Linked DNA regions of Rhinolophus ferrumequinum. The protein of the gene in region 1 interacts with the protein of each later gene in a biochemical or structural test. Links are inferred from orthologs where the notes say so. Each region holds a gene or a part of one and is shown in the gene's direction. Other genes may lie near its edges.

Region 1 (7,793 bases):
TTAAGACTAATAGAAGCTGTTTAGTATTAAGTTGGTGCAAAAGCAATTGCGGTTTAAAAGGTTAAAAAAAAATCGCAAAAACTGCAACTACTTTCACACCAACATAATATCTTATTGCTCTGTTTAAAAAAATTGTCAAGGAAAGCCCCAGAGTGGCAAGCAGTGAGTCCGCAAGCAGTGAGTCTGTATCTCCAGGGCAATGAAAGTTTGCCTGGGAAGCTGCATTTCATCACAGGTGTGCTACAACGGTTTCCTCTCCAGAGTAGATCGCTTTGCACGCAAAGATTTTAAAGCCTGTGCACGAGGGGGCCCTTGCCTTCTAATCCCTGGAGGTCTGAGGCCCAGGTCATCAGGCTTCGGCCAGGTGGGTGGATGGAGAGAGCAGTCCTCAGGTTCCCTCAGCTGTGCTGGGTGCCCCTGGGGAGCCCCCAGGCCAGCTGAGCCTCCTCCCGGGCAGATGGTAGAAGAGTTCTGCCCATGAAGATGAGGTCCCCACCTCCCGCTGAACGTGTGTGTCAGCAGAATTCTTTTCTTCTTTTTATTGCCTTCGGGACACATGCTGACTTGGTCAAAATCGCTTCGGCAAGATGTGACTGATGATGTATGAAATGAAAACTCCTTGCCCAGTGCTGGGAGGCCAGCGAGCGAGCGAGGGGTGCGGACACTTGGCTGGGGCGGGCCAGACACAGTAACACCCCTCACGTTTCCAGCCCATCTTTCATCCAGGCGAGCTGGCCCCAGGTGTGGAGCAGACTGGGGCAGATCGGGTTACGGCCTGGGAGTCCAGCGCTGGGTGCCTGGGCTTTGGGAACCACAAGTGGGGGTGGCTGCTGGGGGAAATGGGATAGGCCCGGGAGAGTTCCTGGGCCCTGGATGGCAAGGGGTGGGGGAGGACAGAATGCAAGGATTTTCCTTCCACCTCCAATACTACTTGTCTGCTCTGCCCTCTTGTTCGCGGACTCCTGCACCGGATCTCTCAGAGTCAGGATAAATTTGCTTTTCTCTGCGTGGCTAAAAAGCAGACCATCATGAAACACTGTGTTGTTATTTTTAAACTTAGGAGGCTTTCCTGTTAACATATTTCCCTTTTCATCCAGATGGTGTGTAGCTGACTTTATCAAGTGCTTACTCTGTGCCCCAGGCACCTTGCAGAGTCCTTTACATGAATTGAATTAACTTCTGAATCCTCCCAGCAACCCTACAAGACAGCCACTATCAGTCCCCCAATGACACAGATGGAGGAACTGAGGCACAGAGAGGTTAAACGCTTGGTGTGCAATTGGAAGTGGCGGGGCTGGACTGAAACCAGGTGGGCGGGCTGCTGCCTCTCCCCCGACTTTCTCTAAACAACTGTGAAGCCTTTGCTGGTGGCCTCAGTTCTCACATCAGCGTCTGATGGAATCCCTGCCTGCGTGTTTGTATTCATTCATTCATTCATTCATTCATTCAGAAAGCTTTCTCTGAGGGCATGGTGACGTCTTGGGGGCTCCTTTGGGGAGAAAGCAGGGAAAATAAAGAGCCCACCCCTCCCCCAACATGGCTCACAGGAAAGAGAAGGCTAAATAGGGGGCTGTGGGAGTTCAGAGGGAACCTTATCTCTTCTACCATGTTTCCCCGAAAATAAGACTGGGTCTTATATTAATTTTTGCTCCCAAAGATGCATCAGGGCTTATGTTCAGGGGATGTCATCCTGAAAAATCATGCTAGGGCTTGTTTTCTGGTTAGGTCTTATTTTCAGGGAAACATGGTAGGTCTTGGATATGGAAAGCATGTTGTTTCGTCATCTTGCGTGAGGAAAGATGGCGTCCCCAAGGAAGGGCGGTGGGGGGAAGGTTCTAGGAGATGCCTCAGCCTGGCGCCTGCACCATCAGCCCTCAGTGCGCCATGCTCCCAGGTACTGGCTGTGCTTCCTAGTATTCATTCAGCAGGTACTTACTGAGCACCTGCTGTATGCCAGGTTCAGGTGGCCTCAAATGAGATGCACAGAGGGGTGGCTGGGGGGTGGTGGGGGGCACAGGGCAGATGATGAACAATCAGTTGTTTTTCATATGCAAATTGGTAGCACCCATACCTGCTGCCCCCACCCACCCCAGCCTCACTTGCTGGTTAAAAAATCTCCCTGCAAAGATTTGAGAGTGGATTAAAAAGCAGAGAAGGCTGCTGCAGAGGAATAGCATTTTAGGTTTTGCTAAGAAGCAACCACCTTCATCTCAGCTGGCATTGGAGATGGCAGGGCTGTCGCAGTGGCTTTGCCCTGGGAGGCAGGGGCAGCTCTGGGCAGCCTGGCGTCTGCTTCTGACTCTGCGGGCTGTGCCCTTGCTGGTCGCTTTGCCTGGGATGCCGTTCCCAGGGGAAGCCTTCTCTTTCTCACTCTCCCAGGATCCAGGCCAATGGCATCGCCTCCAGGAGGTCCTCTTCCCACCTCCCACCATGCCACCTTGTTTATTTCCCCGTCACTTATCACAGGCTGAAACCATCTGGGTTGCACACTCTCTAGTGGACGCTGGACGCCAGCCAGCACCCCTCCGCTGCCTCAGAGGGTCCCTGTGTCAGTTCCCCCCTCCACAGTGCCCATCCCTGTCTTTCCTCCTTGTGACCCTCCTGTGTGTCCCTCCATTGCACGGCCACATCCTTCCCTGAGAGAATCCGTGGACAGGCACTGCCTTTCCTCCCGCCCCCAAACCAGATCTGAGCTTCTTGCTTTGTCTCCTGTGGCCTGAAAGCCAGCCTCACGAGGGAGGCCACCCTGGGGGCCTGCTGCGTGCTGCACCCTCCAGCCCAGCACTGTGCTTGGCATTTTCAGGGTCCAGCACAAAATGAAAATGTGAGCCCTTTGTTCATAGATTACTAAGAGTTGTAATATGGCAACAGTAAAGCATTCACTACTGACGTGTGGGACCCTTCGGAGTGTGGGGGCATAGGTGCCTACATAGATTGCACACCCGTGAAGCCCACCCTGACACCGAGGAAGTGCTCAACAAACCTTTGTTGAAGGAAGGTTGTCAATGGATGAAAGGCAAGTGGAAGGGTGTTCAGAGTGCCTTGATTGACAGGTGAGCAGAGGCCCCGCCCTGGGCACTGGGGATTCAGGGCGGGTTCTATCTCGCAGCCTGGGGCCTATGCCACACGGCTTGCCTATGTGATGTGAGTGGCTGGGACCTGCAGCCTTGCATTTCTCTTCTCCTTGCCTGGACTCTGGCCTCTCCTGTCTCCACCCAAGTGGCCCCTCAGGCTGCCATCTTGTCCAAAAGCCCCCATAGGGCCACCTGGCAGAACCACCTCTGTTCCAGGAAAGCTAGCAGACCTGATTCCTCTGTACTAAGTAGCTCTTGGAATTTTCTCCCTGCTGCTAGATGAGGCTTAGCCAGATCCCCTCCCAAAGGAAACCCCGTCCCAAATTCATCCCTTGCCTTTCATCCCAAATGCCCTGGGCTGACGCTCCATCTAGCCCCTTCCAGGGGAAGCACAGGTTTGTGGGGCAGCCCCAAGAGGGGAAGGAGGCCTGGCTGAACTTTGACCCAATGGTCCTCACTGCCACGCTGGAGAAGTGTGATTTTGATCCCGTATTTACAGAAGAAGAAACCAAGGCTCTGAAGAGCAGTCCTCTTACTGTTCCATAACAGGTTCCACGTTGTGTGGGGGACCTGTGCCCATGCCCAGTGTGAACTTGGCTCAGCGGGTGGTTCCCTATTGTTCGTGGGGTGAACCAATGAGGGGAGGGAAGAAAGGAGGCCAGGAGAGGCTGTCTGTCCAGTGAGGTCCCCAGCACAGACCCCCGGCGGTGAACTGGATGCAAACTGGATGTCAGGCAGGGGCTGATGGGGAAGGTCAAACAGTGGTTGGGGCTGGGGGTCTGGTCTCAGGCGGAGGTGTGACTGGAAATAAACTGGGCCCCAAAGGGAGGAATGCTCCAGCTCACACAATGTCATTTATTTATTCAAAAAACAGTTGTGCAGCCCTTGTGGCTGCCAGGCCTGGGGTTCAAGGCACTTCCGGTACAGGGCAACTGAGAAAAGCACCGACCTGGTCCCCCAGAGTGTTGCATTTCTAGTGCGGGAGACAAGACGATAAAGAAAGCACGAATAATTCAAACAGTGATTCCAAAGGGTGAGAGGAGTTCAGGAAAATTAAACAAGAGTGTGTGTGGGGATGAGGCGGGGAAGGGACCTTAGCTACGCTATTCAAGGAAGGTCTCCGGGAGGAAGTGGCACCTGAGTGGCACCTGGAGGTGGAGAGTCGGCCAGCCCAGCACTGATGAAGGCCGTGGGGGAGGGATCAAGGGAGGGCAGAGAATCCTAGGCAGAGGGAATGGCAAGTGCAAAGACAACCTGGCGACAAGTTGGAGGGGCACAGCGGGGTCAGAGGCTGGAGTGACAGGGAGGGGGCAGAGCGACAGGAGGGGCTGGGGACACCTCCTTTGGGAAGCCTTCTCGGATGCTCGCGCCCCCTCGCATTCCCCCAGCTTCTTCCACCACGGCCCGAATCCCACGAATCCAGCTCAGGCCTCCTTCCCGGTCCGGATTGCGAATCCCGGGAGGGGGAAGGCCGGCTCGGATTCCTCCCTCGGCATCCCTGCGGCGCCCGGCCCGGCGCTGGGCACCCTGTGGGCACTCGGTAAATATTTGTAGAGCGCACTAGAAGGAATGAATGAACCCATTGGGCGCAGCTGGGGGGAGGGCGGGGCCGAGGGCAGGTGGGAGGCCGCGGGCGCGGGAGGGGCCCCTGGAAGGCCGTCCTCCTCCTCCCCTTCGTCCTCCTCCTCCCAGGCCCCAACGCGTACCACTCTGGGGCTCCCGAGGCGGCCTCTCGTGCGATCAAGGGCTCGCAGGGCCGGGAGAGCGACCCGGGGTCCCTGCTCTCCGCGATCGGAGTTCGGAAGAGGGTGGGTCGCCTCCGCCCGAGGGCCAGAGCGCGAGAGGAGCGGGAAGAAGGAGCGCTCGCCCGCCCGCCCGCCGTCTCGCCGCCTCCCCGGCGCTCGCTCTCCGGGCTCCTAGGTTTGCTGGCTGCTCCTCCCACCCGCGCCCGCCTCCTTGCTCGCTTGCTCGCTCGTTCGAGCCGGTTTCCAAGCCCTGCGGTGCGCCAGGGCGAGTGCGGGGCGAGGGGCCCCGGGGCCAGCGCAGAGCCGGGGGGCGGTGGTCCGGGCAGAGAGCAGCGGGCCGGGGAGGGGCCATGTCCGGCGCGGGCGCCGCGGGGCCCGTCTGCAGCAAGTGACCGAGCGGCGTGGACGGCTGCCTGCCCCCCTCCGCCACCTGGGCCGGCGCGGGCCCTGGGGCCGGGTGCCTGGAGCCCGGGTCGCGCGTAGAGCCGGCGCGATGCACGTGCGCTCGCTGCGCGCCGCGGCGCCCCCCAGCTTCGTGGCGCTCTGGGCGCCCCTGTTCCTGCTGCGCTCCGCCCTGGCCGACTTCAGCCTGGACAACGAGGTACACTCGAGCTTCATCCACCGGCGCCTCCGCAGCCAGGAGCGGCGGGAGATGCAGCGCGAGATCCTCTCCATCCTGGGCTTGCCCCATCGCCCGCGCCCCCACCTCCAGGGCAAGCACAACTCGGCGCCCATGTTCATGCTGGACCTGTACAACGCCATGGCGGTGGAGGAGGGCGGCGGGCCCGACGGCCAGGGCTTCTCCTACCCCTACAAGGCGGTCTTCAGCACCCAGGGCCCCCCTCTGGCCAGCCTGCAAGATAGCCACTTCCTCACCGACGCCGATATGGTCATGAGCTTCGTCAACCTCGGTGAGTGAGGACAGGCGGAAGGGGGTGAACGTCTGGGTCAGGAGGCGCTTTGGAATAGGGAGGCGGGGGCCGCTTCTTAGGTCCAGCCCGCCCATCTTTCCACGCCGGCCCTTTGCAAAACCATAGTGCCTGGCCAAGAGTCTCCTACCCCCGGTCCGAGTGGACCCCAAGCTGTGCGCGCCCTACTGTAGGGAAAGCCAGGCTAATTTGGCCTTGTGGCGTTTTGGGGAGCGAAGGACCGGTCCGAAGGCCCCTTCGGGTTAACTTGGCGGCCGCACCTCTGGAGAAGGAGGCGCCCAGCGGCCGCGGCTCAGTTGAAAGCGCGGGGCTCGGTCATGTGAGCTGTGCCGGGCCGGCGCGGCCCGCGCTACCTGGATTTAAAGGGCCCTGCTCTGCGATGCTGCCTTCCCGCCCTTTCTGGGCCCCTCTCAGCCCTGCCGAGCCCTGGCATCCCGGGCGTCGCGCCCCCTTCCCGGCCTTAGTAAGCCCTACCTGTCCGCTCGCGGTGCGCCTGCCCTAGCGTGCTGCGCGCCCTGAGCGCCTCGGGTCCCCTCTCCTGGCCGCCCCCCTCGCTCTCAACTCTCCTGGCTGGAGCTGGGGAAGAAACGTTGCCATTGCGAGCTTTCTATTTTAAATATTTAATGATAGGTCCCGGGCGGGCAGAATCCATTTTCAGCGTTTATCACATGTGGCGCGCAAACCACGGCTTTTGGCGATTGGGTGGCGCGGGATCTCGGAGGAGACGCCGCCGGGGGCGGCTGGGGGACCCGGCTCGGAAGTGGAGCCGCGACGGCCCGGGGGACGCGAGGCTGGGGCTGCGGCGGGGGTGCGGTGGCTCTCCCTCCATCTGTGCACGCACACTCACCAGACTTGCTCAAACTAACCCCCGGCAGCGCGCTGTAGGGCTGATGATCAAATATTTGGTTTCCGAGATAACACGCCCCGATAGCGCTGTTTCCTGAGCCGCTTTCATTCTACATGTGTAACTTGCTGCGAAAATCCGAACAGAGTCAAGACAGCAAACTTACGCCCACGGGCGCTGTGTCAACATGGAAATAATGATACTCAAGCCCCCCCCCCCCCCCGCCGAGCACAGGGGGCGTGGATGGAGGGCTCGGGGAAGCCGGGATCACCCTTAATGCTTCCCGCTCCAGATAAGGTCCCTGGAGGTCCTGGGACGCCATTGTCTTCCCTTAATAATAGCCAAAAATCAAACAGTGAAACAAGTTTCAGCGAGCAAGGGGTGGGAGGTTTAGATGCCAAAATAACTTCAAGAAAGTTTAAATTATACTAAGCAGCCTGTTAGAACGAAGCAGCTCCATATGTCCCGGTTTAGAACAATCTCCAAGATGTATGAGGTGGAAAAAAGCAAGGTGCAGATGAGTGAGGTTACATATGTGCTTGTAGATCATCCCTTCCCACTGGAAGAAACACCAGGAACTGGAAATAGATTTCACTGGGGGGTGGGGCGGGCCTGGCCGCTGGGGCTTAGGCAGTGGGAGCTGGGGTCTGAGCTTTTCTTGCCTGCACTTTTGTCTGTGGCTTTCTGTTTTGTTTTGTTTTGTTTTTACAATGTGTATTTATGACCTATACCAGAAACTAAAGAAAAAAATCCCAATACATACATATACATAAGTAAGTTAAAGCAGAGCTCTGTAGCTGTCCTGAAGCCTGGGTTAATCAGGGCCCTTTCTCTGGCCAGAATTTATGGTATCCTGTTCTGTTGGGTACCCATGACTACCTGTGAACACAGCAGGTCCCAGTGGCTGCCTTCAGAGCCTGGCTGGGCTCATTAAAAAAATATTTGGAAGCCCTGGCTTCTGTGGAAGGCTCTGCAAATCCCATGCAAAAAGCACCATACTTAGCTCATGGACCAATAGCAGGGGCAGACCTACGGCTCTCCCTGCCCCCCCACCAGAGAAGGACTAAGTTACCAAGTGGGTACCCCTGGGAATCTTAGGGCAGGGTTGTTTGCTCCCCCTTGGTGGTGGGAGCAAGCTGAGACTTGTTTGGGAAGGCCGCAGCTGGGTGGTTTTCCTCCTCTGGCTGTACACACACCTTTC
Region 2 (7,302 bases), on another chromosome or scaffold:
TATCTGACTATATTTGCTTTAATTTGTCATTTAAAACAATGTTAACTCTTTATTCCTTCTGGAAATATTTTCAGAAATGGTATGAGAGGAAGCACTAACAGGATTTTCCCCAAGTGCTTCAACATCGTTTGAATGAATAATCTTTCCTTTCTGTAATGGTTTTGTGATGTCTCTTTTATCACATGGTTGGCCCATAGCCACACACTGGTTTGCATGTAACCTGCTGTGCCAGGAGGTGACTGTATTAACTTTCCCAAGTGGGAAATAACTGTAGGGCTGTTTGAGGACTCCCCGTGTAGCTCCAACAGTTCCTTGAATATGGTAGACAGCCAATAAAGTCTTGTATGAAATGAACAATTAATGAGTCTTTCATACACCTGGGAAAGTTTAACTGGAAGATTAATAAGTGTCTGTCCTGACTGGTTAAATGTTTACCTTTTGGGGAAAAGGGAGCCAGGCCTGATAGGATTTGTAGTGACCCTTTCAGGTTGATTTTTCTCTTCCATCCCCTAGTATTCTGATCCATTCACTTAGATCTTTGGAACACAGTACTGGTTTTTTTTTTTTTTTATGGGCTTCAGGATTAGGACTAAATTTCAGATGTCAAGGACATTGAATTCATCATTCTCCAAGAATAGTTATGATGCAGCTGGGTCAGTATTTCTCATGCTTGAATAATGTATAGACAGCTTTAAAAGGAAAAACAGAATCTTCATGGACCTTTATTGATACTTTAAATTATTTTTATTGCAATTATTATTTGAATAAGCTGCATGTTCTTACAGGTACATAGCCAAAAAGGATAGCGAAATCGTTTGCATGGTAGACATTCAGATGATCTAGTATCATAGTATCATGAATATGTATCATAGTTAATTTATTAATTTGTTTAAAAAATACTGTAACTGAAGCCAAAGCACAAATTTCATGGATTTCATAAAGAACTTGGAGATCCCCTAAGAGTATGTGTCCTAGTTCCAGTCTAACAAAATAGAAATAGGAGAATCACTTTACCATAAGCCACATCCAACCCTCAAACTTTGCCCTTTTTCTACGCTGTTTCTAGTCTTCAACGTTCAACTTCAATGTGAAAAATCACTAAACTAGATGTAAACCAATCTCTATATGCTTGAAACCATTAGAAAACTATAGAAAAATTGAATATGAACAAAACTATAAACCTAGTGTTTCAAATAACTTTATTTAACGAGACAGATATTGTTTTGCTGAACACCAATGTCTGCTCACGTCAGAAACCTTGGTACTGTTGCCTGATAGGAGCAGGGTTTATTTTTGGTTCTATGTGCCCATACTAAATGAACAGACTTATTAACATTTGCTCATTACTTTAACCATTATTCTTTATTTTTCTTCAAGAAATCTTTAGAAATTGAACTGTAGCACATTAATCTGTCAGGAGTCTCATCAATACCACCAGCTCTCAAACACCCCAATATTCTTCTAAAGAATTTGCTGCTGGAAGTTAGTATGTATAACTAAGCTGATTTTCGCTTTATAGGTTTTTAATAAACCATGTTCCCTTATAACACTATAAAAGCTCTCTCTAGAACCAAAATAATGGCTTCAAGATAAAAGAAGTCACTCACTTTAGTTACGTACTTCAATTATTTTAAATGAAATCAGTTCTAAAAATTACAATTTATATTCTGTATCACATCTGAGTGCAGAGAGGCTGTGGTTATTGTTTAAGTCGAAGAGCTTAACTGTAATGAGAAAGCTTGCTGCAAAATTTTATGAAATAAATTCCCCAAATTTTATAGGAAAATACTGTACAGGACTCTCAGGTTGCTCAAGACCCTGTTTCCTAATAGTTTTTGAAAGCTGTTGACTTTTAGAAATGAACATGTTGATCTGGGCATAAAGGAGGACGATATGCAGAAATCAGGAGATGCCAATTCACAATGCAGCAGGCAGTTAATTAACTAGAGTCGTGCTCCTTGAAACATACGATGGAGGAGAGCTGAGAATCTTAGAATAACAGAAGATGTATTTCGTCCAAGTTACTTTACTGGTCTGTTTTCCACCAGAGTTAAATCAATGGATTAGATGTGGGGTAAGGCAGTGGCTCTCAACAGGGGGCGATTCTGCCCCCTAGGAAACATTTGGCAATGTCTAGAGACATTTTTAGTGGTCACAGCTGTAGAAGGAAGGCGTCCCACTTGCATCTACTGGATAGAGGTCAAGGATGATACAAAGATATTTACAACGTACCAGAAAGCACCCCAACACAATTATCCTACCATATAAAGATGTCAATAGTACACAGGTTGAGAAACCCTGGATTAAGGTGTCTAAGCCAAAGAACTGCATTTGGGGTGTATCCTTGGGTGGACAGGGCTTGTGCGGAGGGCTGTATCCTTGTGTATCATCCTGCTCTACACACACACGCGCGCACACACACACACACACACACACAGAAAATCAACCGATCAATGTTACAAGTCTACAAGAACTACCCAGAATCCTCCCAGATAATCTCCTGAAATACAAATTAGTCACAGGAAAAATCAGAAGGTTTTTTTGCATTGAACCAGTCACACAAGAAGGAACCACTACTGAAGGAACAGTTAAAAGGACAACAGGATTCATTAGTTCATTTATTCACTTATTCAGCAAACCTTTATTGAGTACCCACATGTGCTACTCTGCTAGGTGTGATACATTGTGAACACAGCCAAACCTGGTCCCTGCCCTCATGGGGCTTACAGACTAGAAGAGAAGGTTACCAACAAAGGGCCAGTAAAATGAGGACTCCGTAAATGTACAGGACTTAGGAACATTTACACAGCAGCTTGAAAAGCGTCCACATGTGTCTAATCTCATTTGAACTGCACAACAAACTTCATGAGACAGGCTCTATTCCCTTCTTCCAGAGGTTAAAAATGGGCTCAAGGTCACACAGTTTCTAAGTGGCCACGGCTGACACTTCAACCAAATCACACTGATATCCCTGTTATATTCTTCTAAAGAGCAAGACTACATATAGGCACTCTTGCTTTATCTGACCTGGAATTTCCTCTCCAGATCTCCATCAATTATATAGGAACAAAGCCCTTCCCCTTTAAAAAAATAATAAAGCACCCAGCCTTCTCCATCTTCTTGCTTCTGTAATACCTGGGGATTATTTTCTAGCTGTTTCATCTATGTATGTTTTGTGTTCCTCATTAGATTGTAAATTCCTGACCTGCAGGGCCCAGATCTTCCATTTCCTTTGCAATCTTTTGCAGTACTGCAGTCACCCAATAAATGCCTGCTGCATAAATGAACCTGTAGAGATAAAAATACTTTATGGTATTCCCATTTATGGCTTTCATGCTTGTATTTTGCTTTGTGATAGGACTGTGCATAAGCTTCTAGAGGGCAGAGAAAATGGTTTAGTGCTTTCCTTACACTCAGCAGGCACCATGCAAAATTTGATCCTTGCATGCCTTTTTGATGCTCTGGATAATATTAGCACACTGGAGTGTTTTCGTGTATCTAAGGACCGAGGTTGTCAGCCTCTCTGTGGCGGGGAATGTTTCTTCCTTTCCACTGTAAGCTCCCATGGCGCCTAGGACCGGGCTAGACTACTGCAGAAGCCTCCTCCCCTCACCAACCCGCATATTTTTATTACTAAGGAGGCCGACTGAGAAATGGCAAGCTCCAGCATAATCCGACCTTGCGAGGAAATAAGTGGAAGGGGATTTGAAGGCAGGTCAGAAATGGCCTGGATGTGAATGCCGAGGCTTCTCTCTGAGAATCCAGCCTAAGTCTAACAAGCAGGAGTCCAGCCGCGCGCCTCCCGCAGTCCCGGGGCCGGGAGGCAGCCAGAACCTCCCGCCCGCTCACCCCGGGAGCTGTCCAGACGGCCCCGCCCGCGCCTACCTGGGCACTCACCCGCGCCGCGACGCCTCTCCTCCTCCCACCCCGGTCGCGGGAGCCCGGCTGGGGCCTGCCCCGCCGCCTCCGAGGAGACCCGCGGGCGGCGCGCTCGCCGCCTCCTCCGGCCCCGCCAAACAGCGCGGGGGCGCGCCGGGGGCGACGAGGTCAGGCTCGGCGGGACTCCGCGAGCTCGCCACCGGCCGGGCGCCTGCAGGGGGCGCGGGGACCGCCCCGCCCCGCTGCCTTCCCCTTCCCTCCCGGCTCCCTGGATCTGCGCCGGGAGGAAATGATGTGTTGCTGCCTGGTTAATCACAGCTCCAGACACTCATTGGCCGATCGCTCCGCAGCCACTTCCTTCTCCTCCTCCTCCCGCTCCTCCCGCTCCGGCTCCTGCTTTTTGCAGCCGCCGCCGCCGCAGCAACCTCCCCCTCCGCGCTGGGGGAACTTTTCTACTCTCTGTGGTCGTCTCCCCCAACGCCCCCAGGGCAAGCCCCCACCCGCCGGCCCGCCCCGCCCGCGGCCGTCCTCCCTGCCCGTGCCGCGGCGCTTCGGGAAGTTTATTCCGCCCGCCCTCCTCCCCTTCCTTCTCCTCCTCCGCCTCTTCACCCCGCCTCCCCTCCCTCCCTCGGCTCTTTCCCCGGGGTGGCTGCCGCTGCTGCTGCCGCCGCTGCCGGGCTGCTCCTCGGCCAGCCGTGCCGGCCCGCGGACTGGAAAGCGCCTGGCCCCGCGCACCGCTCCGCTCCGCTGCAGCCTCCTCTCGGGGCCGGCCGCCGGCCCTTGGCCCCGCAGAGTTCCGGGCTCCCCCGCCGGCTGCAGCGCCCCGCCCCGCGCCCGCCGGGGCCGCCCGCCCGGTGCCGCGCCGACCTGCAGCGCCCGGCTGGCTCGCACTCCGCCTCCCCCGGCTCAGCCCCCGACCGCGGCGGGACCAGAGGTGAGGGCAGGTCGCCGGCCGAGCCTGCCGGAGCCGGGTGGATCGAGGGAGGAGGGAGCCTAACGGGAGAAGAGGCTGGGATTGGGGGTGGGAGGGTGGGCGTCTGCGGTGCCTCCCCTTCGCTTTCATTCCTTTCTCCCCCAAGCTCGATCCCCTCTCGGTGGGGGAAGCAGCCGCGGAACAAAACTGTCTTGCGTTGGGCCTGAACTGCTGGTGGGCTATGGGAGAGGGCAGAGGCATGGAGTGTTGGCGGGGGGGGGGGGGGGTCTCTGGTTTGGTGTGTGTGTGTGTGTGTGTGTGTGTGTGTGTGTGTGTTGAACTCCTTCAGTCTGTGCGCCTCTGACTTGTAAATCGATCTGGCCGCCCGACCACGGGTCTCACCTTCCTAGCTGAGCTTGGTAGGGAGTAAAGAGATGGGCGAAACACCCCCACCCTCAAAATATCCGTCGCTTCCAAAAGGAATTTTCTGCTGGAGAGACAGCCAATAAACTCTGCTCAACTCCCTCCCTCCCTCTCCGTTCTTCCTAGCTGCAGTTTCAAAAAGCTTCAAAGCCAGGAATGTGGGATTCATCTTCCGATCCCCAGAAGGCAAATGTGGTTACAGATGTTGCACGGTACTTTGCCAAGTTTAAAACCCTTCCTTCAACACTGTAACAAAAACAGTGAGGCTAGAACCCTGGGTGCGCTGGGGAGAGATGTGGGTCTCTGGGGCTGCCCTATTCACCACCTTCTGTTGGGTTCTAGACGGGCTCAGCTCTGTCCACTTTGTGCACTATATGTCTCCCCCCTCCCTTTTCCCTGGAGTTTTGAATACTTCTTGCATAGGAGAGAAGCTATAGAGGAAGCTACTTAGGGAAGATAACATTCCACTTAGTAGCAGAAGAAAAGCCTTGGGTTAAAAAGTTGTGCTTAATTTAGCTTTTGGAGAGAGGTAGCAAAGTAATACAATGGATTGATTATTTTTTTCGGGCTTTTTTTTTTTTTTTTTGAGGTGTGTGTGATGGGAGTTAGATGATGAGAAAAATGATTGACCTCATACATATTTTGTATATTTTTGAAAAGAGACCTCCAATTGAGACATAGACACAACCCAGTGGTTTTAAAGAACCCTGTCCCTGTTCACTGCTCTGACAGCCCAGGGAAGGCGGTGGCAAAAAATAGACACCACCTCCCTTTTCTCCCAGAAAAATTCTTCCTGGAAAGATGGTGTTAAGAAATTTCAGAGATGGGCTGATCTAAGTGGCGGGCCTTAAATGGAAGCACTATAGTATGTCCTGGCACTTGTCTCTGGAGGTGGGTGGCTGGCCAGGGGCCCGGGCTTGGGCAGCCAGCGGACACTAGACTTGTGCTGACCTCAGACACTGGGTTTGCCGTCCAGCTTTACAGTATGCTTAAGTATGAAATACGGGCCTCACACATTTCACTGATGGGGACATTGGGGTCAGGAAGTTACTTTAGGTCTAGACAGGACTTGGATCACCCAGCTTTTAAGATCAAATCACTTTTTTTTTTTTTAAACTCAGTCCTCTCTTACATTAACTCTTTTTTTTAAAGCTATGTCTGTCTGTTTTTTTTTTTTTTTTTTTTTATTGGGGAATATTGGGGAGCAGCGTGTTTCTCCAGGATCCATCAGCTCCAAACAGGGTCCATCAGCTTCAAGTCTTGTCCTTCACTCTAGTTGTGGAGGGTGCAGCTCAGCTCAGTCGCTGTTTTCAATCTTTAGTTGCAGGGTCACAGCCCATCATCCCATGCTGGAATTGAACTGGCAACCTTGTTGAGAGCTCATGCTCTAAACGAACTGAGCCATCCCTGACGCCCCCAAGACCAAATCACTTTTTTGTGATTCATTTGTTTCTGTTTTCTGTCCTGGAATTAAAAAAAGGAAGTCTTTTAAAGCTGAAATATGTAGGCCTTAAACTGATGGAATTGTGTGTTGGATAACAGCATTTGTACTGTCACCCCTCATGCAAATACTCAAAGGTGATGAATGATGTTGCAGTAAACTTTGGAGACAGGGCAAAAATCAAGGGCTGGGATGGGTATAGACCGGGTTCCTGCTTTCCTTTTCCAGCACTATGGGTGAGTTTTACTTGAAATGTAGAGAGTGTTTTTAAATAAAACTTGATTTAGGTAGTAGTTTTACAACTTTTGTACTTTGTTAGAGAGTGATCATTTGAATCCAAAGAAGCTTCTTGTTATCTCTAAGTAATAATTTTAAGAGAATAGTAAGGAAGTGGAGTAAAGATGGAGGAGTATGCTACATTTAGGATTGTAATTATAGGCATAAGTTGGAGGTATTGCAAATTCAGTTCCAGACCACCGAGATAAAGTGAGATAAAGCGGGTATTGCAACAAAGTGAGTCATAGTAATATTTTTGCTGAAGGGTCTTGCCTTCAATTTGTAAAAAACGAAACACCTGTGAAACACAATAAAGTGACACACAATCCAACCAGGTATGCCTGTAATTTCAGAAGTGAGGAGCTTAATT
Region 3 (7,758 bases), on another chromosome or scaffold:
ACAGGAGTCAGTACCACTTCTATCACCCTTTGTAAAACACTGTCATGGATGACATATCTTTCTCTTGGTTTTTTATCTCATCTCTCTCCGTGCTACTGTTTCATCCCCGTTCCTCACTGTTAATCCTCTGCTTGCTAAATTTCTTTTCGCGTTTACTCTCCATTTAGAGGCTCTCATTCATTTCCATGAACTTTAATACCATTTATTTGTGTGCTGACAATTCCCAAATTTCTATGTGTAGAAATTGCATGCTCCTCTACACTTCAGTCACCTGCATCCAACTAATTACTTTATATCTCCATTTGGATGTCTCATTGGCAACTCAAATTTAACATTTTCAAGATTGAAAAATTTCACTATTCGTGTCTGCATTCCCTTCCCTATAATGTCTCTCTCCCCCTCAATCTACCCCATCTCAACAAATGACACCATGTCCACTCATTTGCTCAAGAAAAAAAAGTAGGAGTCATCCAATTCATCAGTAAGTCCTGTTGATTCTACTTACAAAATAGATCTTGAATCTGTCCACTTCTTTCCACACTAGTTCACAGTACCAATAATCTCTTGCCTGACTTACTGCAACACCCTAACTAGTCTCTCTAATTTCTTTGGTAATTTCTTGCAACCTGTTCTCCAGATAAAAGCCAGAGTAATCTTCTAAAGCATAAATGAGACCACACAACTCTTTTACTTAAAATTCTCCAATGGCTTAATGCTTTACTTTGAATAAAATCTAAGGACCTTACTTTGGCCTACAAGATCTTGCATAGTGTGGGCCTGTACTGCTCTCTTTATTTATATCACTCTCCTCGTTGCCATGAGAGCCTCCTTTCAATTTCTTGAACATATCATAGGCTTTGTACATACTATTCCTTCTTAACTAGCTCCTTTCACGGCTGTCTCATTTTGTAGGTTTCGGTTTAAGTGCCACTTCCTTTGTAAGTTCTTCCTGAACTTACATTGTCTCTAAATAGGTCCCCTCTTTCTATCTAACCCATCATTCTTATTCTTTATCTCAGCATCCTGTCTGATTTTATAAATAATCCTTCCCACTTGAAAATTACTTTTTACTTGCTGTTTTTGTCTTCCTCTTGATACTGTAAGCTCAGTGAGGGCAGAGACTATATTCATTGCACTTCGCTATACAATCGCTAGCACAAATCCTATAGCTAATAGTTACTTGTCGAATAAGTGGATACCACAGATAAAGATGGACAATGTAGTAAAAATGACTAATTCTTATGCAGTCTTGCATTATAGAATTTTAGAACTATAGCATCAAAGCTTTATTCAACATTTTAATCATTTGTTAAAATGGATGGAGGGCACTATTTTTGAGAGTCTTGCGTATATTGCCTGTCCTCTGCTCCAGTGCCTTTCAAATTATCTGTGGTGAATTTCCAATCTACGAGACTTTTGTAAAATACAATAAAATTGAATTACAAAAAATAAAAACAAAAATACCAGCCCAATTTTTCTTATTACTAGCTTCAGCAGACACAAAATTATTCTGTCAAGTTTCTACAAAATTTTTTAAAGCATTTATCAATGTCTGCACTAATCTCACTGAAGATTATATTACTAGCTTAGTGTAGCCTTTTCATCAGTGTTGGATACATTATTTCCACTGTAACTAGTTTCTCTTCAACTATTCTCACTTTTCTGTCCTAGACTATGCTGCCTTAATGTTTTGTCCCTCACTTATTCTCACATCCATATTCTCAGTATTTCTTTTTTACCTCATTGGTACAGCACAATGCTATGGATAGACCTAAGTAGAAAGAGAGGTATAACAGCAAAAGCTAGGATATAGGAATTTTTCTTCCCACCTTGTGGGAAGATGAAGAAAGATTCAGTTTGTGTTGCTTATATGTAGCTGTTGTTACGTCCGAAAGCAGGTGAATACCTTAAGATGAATTTCCTTCCACTATATGCCATACTACCCAATATCAAAAGCAAGTTCAATTCCAGCTTCTCTTTAGAATTCAAGGTTTAAGCTTAGTCCATACTTTTTTGAGCCTGATATATCAGTTTCTAGGGTAAAAAGAAACCATCCTTCATTCTGGAAGCAGTCTGTGACCCTAATTTACCTGTCCCCTCATCCAGCCATCACACACTTGAATCTCTAGGTTGAACAGGCTTCTCAAGGTTCTTCTAGCTGGGAATAATTTGAAGTTCAATTGAACTTTTTGGGGGGGACTTTGAACTTGAAATTCTATCATTGGACTGGCTACAAAGCCAGGTCTCAGGTTTGGGGATTGAGTTGTTAGCTAAAGTTGTTTAACACATAATGTCTAATGCTATGGGAGACCAGAATTCCTTTCGTGTTTCCTTTTCCTCACCTTTCTTCCTAATCCAGTTTGTACAGCTTGCACTGTGTTAGAGAGGTATTGGATTTGTAGGACAAAAAAACAGTGATTCTAGAAAATAGGAAGGAAAGAGGGGCAATAGGGTCAGCAGCAGTTTACCTCTGTCTCCTTTTTAAGCTTTGGAATTCCAGTGGGAATTAGTCACGTACTCTTATGTCTTAATAGGTTAAATTATTTTAAAAAATGCAGAAGGTGGGGTAAACACAGATTTAGGAACAAAGTAGATAACTACCGGTAATGGAATCTAACTTTTCCCATGGTGCTATATTAACTCTTTATTAGAGAAGAATATTCTAGTGAAGACTTTGACTTATTGCTCCTCTTTCATACTACAGAAAAATAATTTTCATCTTTTCTTACATTCTTATAGTGGGGAATTTGGGTGGTAAGATAAAGGATGTATTTTCAAGTTTTAGTTCTATTACTGGTTATTCCAGTTATTCCACTTGCTCTGGTTTCACAATTCAAAAAATATTGAAGTGATGCAGAGATAAGACAATAGTGGGGCCTGATCCAGGGTATAACCGACATCAAATTCCTGAACTGAAGGTGGTTCTAAATGAAACACACTCTCCATTCCAGAAACGTTAGCAGCAAGTCTTAATTCAACAAGCTAATGGAAGGTTTGTATTTATTCCTCTGAACAGCTCATAAAGTCCAGAGAACTACATAATATGAGATCATTTAGATACCTTGAAGATCAACTTGGGACTTTTCTTAACTGTTGCACAACATGAATCAAATTCTGAGCACCATGACTTGAAAACTTTAAACTCTTGGAGAGTTTAAAGTGCCACAATGATTGCTAATAACCCTGTTGTAGAAATGGGCAGACAATTACAGGATGAACTTAACAGAAATACAGAGTAATTCAGAAGAAGAGAAAAATAAAACACTGTAAATACAAGGGAAAAGGCTTGGCTTTGTGGGAAAAATGTGGGAATTCATAAGCTACAAGCAAACGATGAATTAGCCATACAGTACAATTGCTTTATTATTTTTATTAATAAAACATTCGGAGAGTACATGTGAGAATATAGGATTAAGAAAACGGCTCTTACCCGCCAGTCATTTATGCAATTATTTATTAAGCACCCATCATAGGCTAGACACTCTAAGTGTTGAGATAAAACGGGGAAGAAGCCAGATAAGATCCCTCCCTACCTTCACCCAGGTCGCTAAAGTGTGGTAAATGACAAAGCTAGTATCTTTAATACTGACTTTAGTTTGTATTCGGCAGACACTTCGAGCACAGCAAACACTGTGAGCTTCTTCAGGGTAGGGATCCTATTTTTACATTTCGGATCGAACTCCATGCCTAGCACAGCACCTTGTAAGCAATCAACTTCGACTAAGTGTGAAAATAGGCCCTAAAAACCTAAAATTTGAAAACGTAAACACTTGTCTGACCATCAAACACGTCGATCAAAATCTGCAGGTTTCCTCTTCAGCGAGCAATAGATATTTGCGAACCTATTACGTGCAGAACAGCTCTCAACACAATGCTTTGTGTACTAAAAGGGATGGTGGGAATGGATTCAAATTGCACATCGTGATAATTGCCGTGGATATCCCGACCGGGTGGACAGCCCATCCTCCGCGAGGTTTTTTTTTTTTTTCTTTTTCAGCCGAGAGACAAAACGCTTAAGCCACCGGGGTGGGATGCATCGCTAAGACTGGGCGGCACAGACACCCACCCGTTCGCGCGCACCGAGCTCGCTCCGGCAGCTCGGCAGGCACGGCGGACCGGCTCCCACCCGCGGCTTCCCGGCGCCCGGAGTCTCGGAGCGGACGAGGCGTCCCCCCAGAGGAAAGACAGGGCGCCGCAGACGCCCCCCTGGAGGAGTCACCACCACCCGCCCCGCCTCGAGGTCCTTGTCTTCTTGGGCTCCCTCGGACCATTCGGGCGTGCGCTCCGAGAGGCCGGTGGGGCGCGAGTTCGCTACTTGGCGCTCCGGAACCCCACCGTAGCCACTCGTCCACCCACTGGAACCGCACAGCCCAGCAGGCCGAGCAGGCCGGACGCCGAGGCCTCGCGGTATCGAGCCTCCGTCCGCCCCGCCTCCTCGCCCTCCAGCCGGCCCCGCCCTCGCTCTCACCCCTCCCCCGCTCTCACCCCTCCCCCGCTCCCGCCTCACTTCCCCGACAATCTCCTCGCGCTCCCGGCCCGGCACGCGCGCCGCGCCTCTCAGCCGCTACCGCCGCCGCCGCCGCCGCGGAGCGTTCCTTCACGGTGCCTGGCTTCCAGCTTCGGGCCGGAACCGGAAGTTTAGGGGGCGGGGCCGGCGGAGGCCAAGGGACCGAAAACGCGGCCGAGCCCGGAGCCCGGAGCCGGAGCCAGAGCCTGGACCAGAACTTGGCCGCCGCCTGCACCGCCGCCGCTGCCGCCGCCCGCCGCTCCTTCCCCGCTCCGCTGCCGCCGCGGCCGCCACCGCCGCGAGCTCAGCCGCCAGTGGTCCGCGGACTTTGGGTGTCCGGGTTGAAGGTCGGTCCGGACGTCGGACCCAGCTCGGTTCCCGGACTGTCCGGGCGGCAGCGGACGCCGCCGCCGCCGCCGCCTCGTCGCCTAAGCCTGGCGTTTTGTTCCGAGAGACCCGAGAGGCGAGCCGAGCTGACAGTGATTTTGACAGTGATTTAAACCCGCTTTTGTTGTTGTTGGCTTTTCGTTGTTTGGTTTTGTGTGTTGTGCGTGTGTGTGGCGGTTTTTTTCCCCCGTGGTGCATTTTTTTTTATTGTTGTGCTTTTTTTTTTTTTCTTTTTTAACCCCGTGAACGTTTTTCTTTTTGGTCGGGGCTTCCGAATATGTTTTATGACGGTTGATTTTACACCAGGAGGTTTGTCTCCGAGGAAGACCTAGAGAACTGGATATCTAGCGAGAACTTCCTACGGCTTCCCCGGCGCCTCGGGAAAATGGGAGCTGCTGCAAAGTTGGCGTTTGCCGTCTTTCTTATCTCTTGTTCTTCAGGTAGGTGCATGGAGCGTGTCGCGGCGGGGCTGCAGCCGCTGCTGCCGCTGCTGGCGGCCGCGGTTGTTGTTGGGTCGGCGAGCTCCAGTGGAGGCTGGGGAGTTTTTCCCCCCACCCCGAGCCCCTAGGTTGCCACCCCCAAGGTCTGATTGCGATCTAGAAACCTCCATGAATTTTCCTCGGTTTGCGTTAGGTTAGTAACTGATAAGAGTGACTGTTGTTGTGGAAGTGAGAAAGTCATGGTTTTGTGGCCATAACACTGGATGACAGCGCTGGTTGGGTTGCAATTCAGCCGCAAATACCACAAGTGACAATTTATGCAAAGGTTTGAGACCCGAAAGGTGTATTCCAACATGTCATTTAGTGTGGCATCCTCCAAAATAAGGGTTTCTTAAATCGTCTTTTAATTAGTGCTTCACCAGTGACTATCAGGGCAGAGATCAAGTCAGTTGTTACTTAATTTTAACCGTGAGAAACAATGCATCATATCGGCGGTTTCATCTGGGTCTTCCCTCACGTTTTCTTCAACTTCAGTGTCCAGCAGTGTTAAAAATAGTTGTAGTTGTTGTTGAAGTATTAACTATAACCCAGTGCAGAAGAGGTATGCCGCTGCGTGTTGGTAATATGCTGGCTTCCAACCACCATTTATGTGCTCTTTTCTGGCAGAGATTTTGCTTACCTACGGAATACTTATTTTAAACGCGTTGTATTGAAGCATTGTTTTCCATTTGGAACAGCCCATTTGAAATTGTTCATACTGTCAGATGCACTGAAGTCATAAAATAGGTTTTGCCCCAAGGTTGGGAGAATAATCTGGCCTTTTGGTATTTGAAATTTTGATTTTGTGAGAACGTTCAATGGTTGCAACCAGTGGTTGGAAAACTGTCGAGTCTTTTGTATTTGAAATTCTACAAAAGAATACAGCATGTAGCTGAAAGGTGTGCAAAATGTACATAACAGAAGAGTTAGGTTGGTAGATGAAATAATGTTAAAGTCGCAGTGGATCTATTTAACATAAAATTCAATATTCAGTAACTAGGTTGTGAGAGAGAATTATGGGGGGTGGGAGGAGGAATTGACAGGTTTCATGGCCATATCTTTATCTCATTTGCCACAGGGAAATTAGAGGGTGGTAGTCTTTTCTTTGTGTACCTCTGTGGGGTGTGTGTGTGTGTGTGTGTCCGTATTGGTCTGTCCTCCCCACCCCCCTTTTTAATAGAATCTTTTGTAATGTATAGAATTTTGCTGAATGGTACATTTCCTTGTGGTTAATAAATGGATAAAGTCTAGTCTCATGTCTGTAGTGGTATTGATCAGTTCCGGGTGGGCTGAATGTGTTGTGAAATGGCGATCATTGCCAGAGATTAACCAAAAGAATCATGTCTGTTTAAATGGAAGAAGGAACATGCTTAAAGCAGGCTGACAGTTCTTTTTGTGCTCCGTTAGGGGAGGAAGATAAACAGTGGTGTCTCTGAAATGAATGAATACCTTGATAATATTAAATCTCTTGCTTTTGAAACATGGTTTAACCATGAGGTTTGTATTTTTCCTGTACTACTCTTTCTCCTCTGCCCCTATATGTTCTGGTTGGTGAACTTCTCTTGTTCAAATGCCTCTTTCTGATCTCCTGCCCTTGAGTAGGAGGGGCATCATGGCCACTGACCAAGGAGTTGTGGACATTATTCTCTCTCAGGCTCACCTGAGTAACACTAATTGGTGCAGGAGGTTATTCTTGAGCAGTCTGGAGGTATTCTGGAAAAGCAGGCTGTCGCTACAGACCTTACAGCTCCCTTTGCTTGGTTTGGGAGTAAAAATAATTGAGCATTATTTTTTTATAGGATTATTTTTACTGAACCAGGAGGTTAATTTTGAAATAATTCGTTCATATAGAACATATAGATGCTCTCCCTACATTAGACTAGTATTAAATATTGTTACATAGTTTTTTAAATAAACATTCCTAGTTGAACTAAAATATAATTTTATTGAAAATAATTGAAATAATCGTAAAGACTTTAATCCATATTTATACACGAAGATTTTTAGTACTTAAAATGTCTGATTTTTTTTAAAGGTCTTTTGTTATAAGTCAAATGCTGTCTATAAAAGGATTATTATGTTTCTTTCCTAATTGATTTTTCTATGTAATTTGTAACCTGGCATGTTTAGGAGCATGAGGATGGCTATTTTTATGAGAATTGAAAAAAATTCAAGGTTTCAGTTTTTTGTTTCTGGGTATTTTATTTTATTTATTTTTTTTATCAAATGGAGAATAGTAGTAAAGAGCAATTTTATTTCAGGTATAGGATGGATATTTACTGTTTTCTTTAGTACTTGTGGACTTTGATTTTTCACTTTCTGAGGACTGATTATGCAGACTATTCTTGTAGGGTATGGCCAAATGTATAATTTCCTACTCTTGTT

What was found. The genes of interacting proteins can lie anywhere in the genome.
Region 2: the proteins of BMP7 (region 1) and ACVR1 form a complex in vitro, tested with the Homo sapiens proteins (2 studies listed by BioGRID). The link is inferred for Rhinolophus ferrumequinum from reciprocal best matches to the Homo sapiens genes BMP7 and ACVR1.
Region 3: the proteins of BMP7 (region 1) and ACVR2A are reported together in a solved structure, tested with the Homo sapiens proteins (2 studies listed by BioGRID, with this or other methods). The link is inferred for Rhinolophus ferrumequinum from reciprocal best matches to the Homo sapiens genes BMP7 and ACVR2A.

The regions. Positions count from the first base shown.
Region 1 is NC_046306.1:4,557,400-4,565,192, forward strand, and holds the start of BMP7 (bone morphogenetic protein 7), read left to right. Parts: upstream 1-5,302; 5' UTR 5,303-5,312; coding exon 5,313-5,730; intron 5,731-7,793. Other genes in the region: collagen alpha-1(I) chain-like, read left to right, coding at 1,843-1,894, 4,378-4,614, 4,767-5,302. UniProt on the Homo sapiens protein: Growth factor of the TGF-beta superfamily that plays important role in various biological processes, including embryogenesis, hematopoiesis, neurogenesis and skeletal morphogenesis.
Region 2 is NC_046291.1:63,997,883-64,005,184, forward strand, and holds the start of ACVR1 (activin receptor type-1), read left to right. Parts: upstream 1-4,299; 5' UTR 4,300-4,813; intron 4,814-7,302. UniProt on the Homo sapiens protein: Bone morphogenetic protein (BMP) type I receptor that is involved in a wide variety of biological processes, including bone, heart, cartilage, nervous, and reproductive system development and regulation.
Region 3 is NC_046291.1:71,832,129-71,839,886, reverse strand, and holds the start of ACVR2A (activin receptor type-2A), read left to right. Parts: upstream 1-4,755; 5' UTR 4,756-5,279; coding exon 5,280-5,334; intron 5,335-7,758. UniProt on the Homo sapiens protein: On ligand binding, forms a receptor complex consisting of two type II and two type I transmembrane serine/threonine kinases.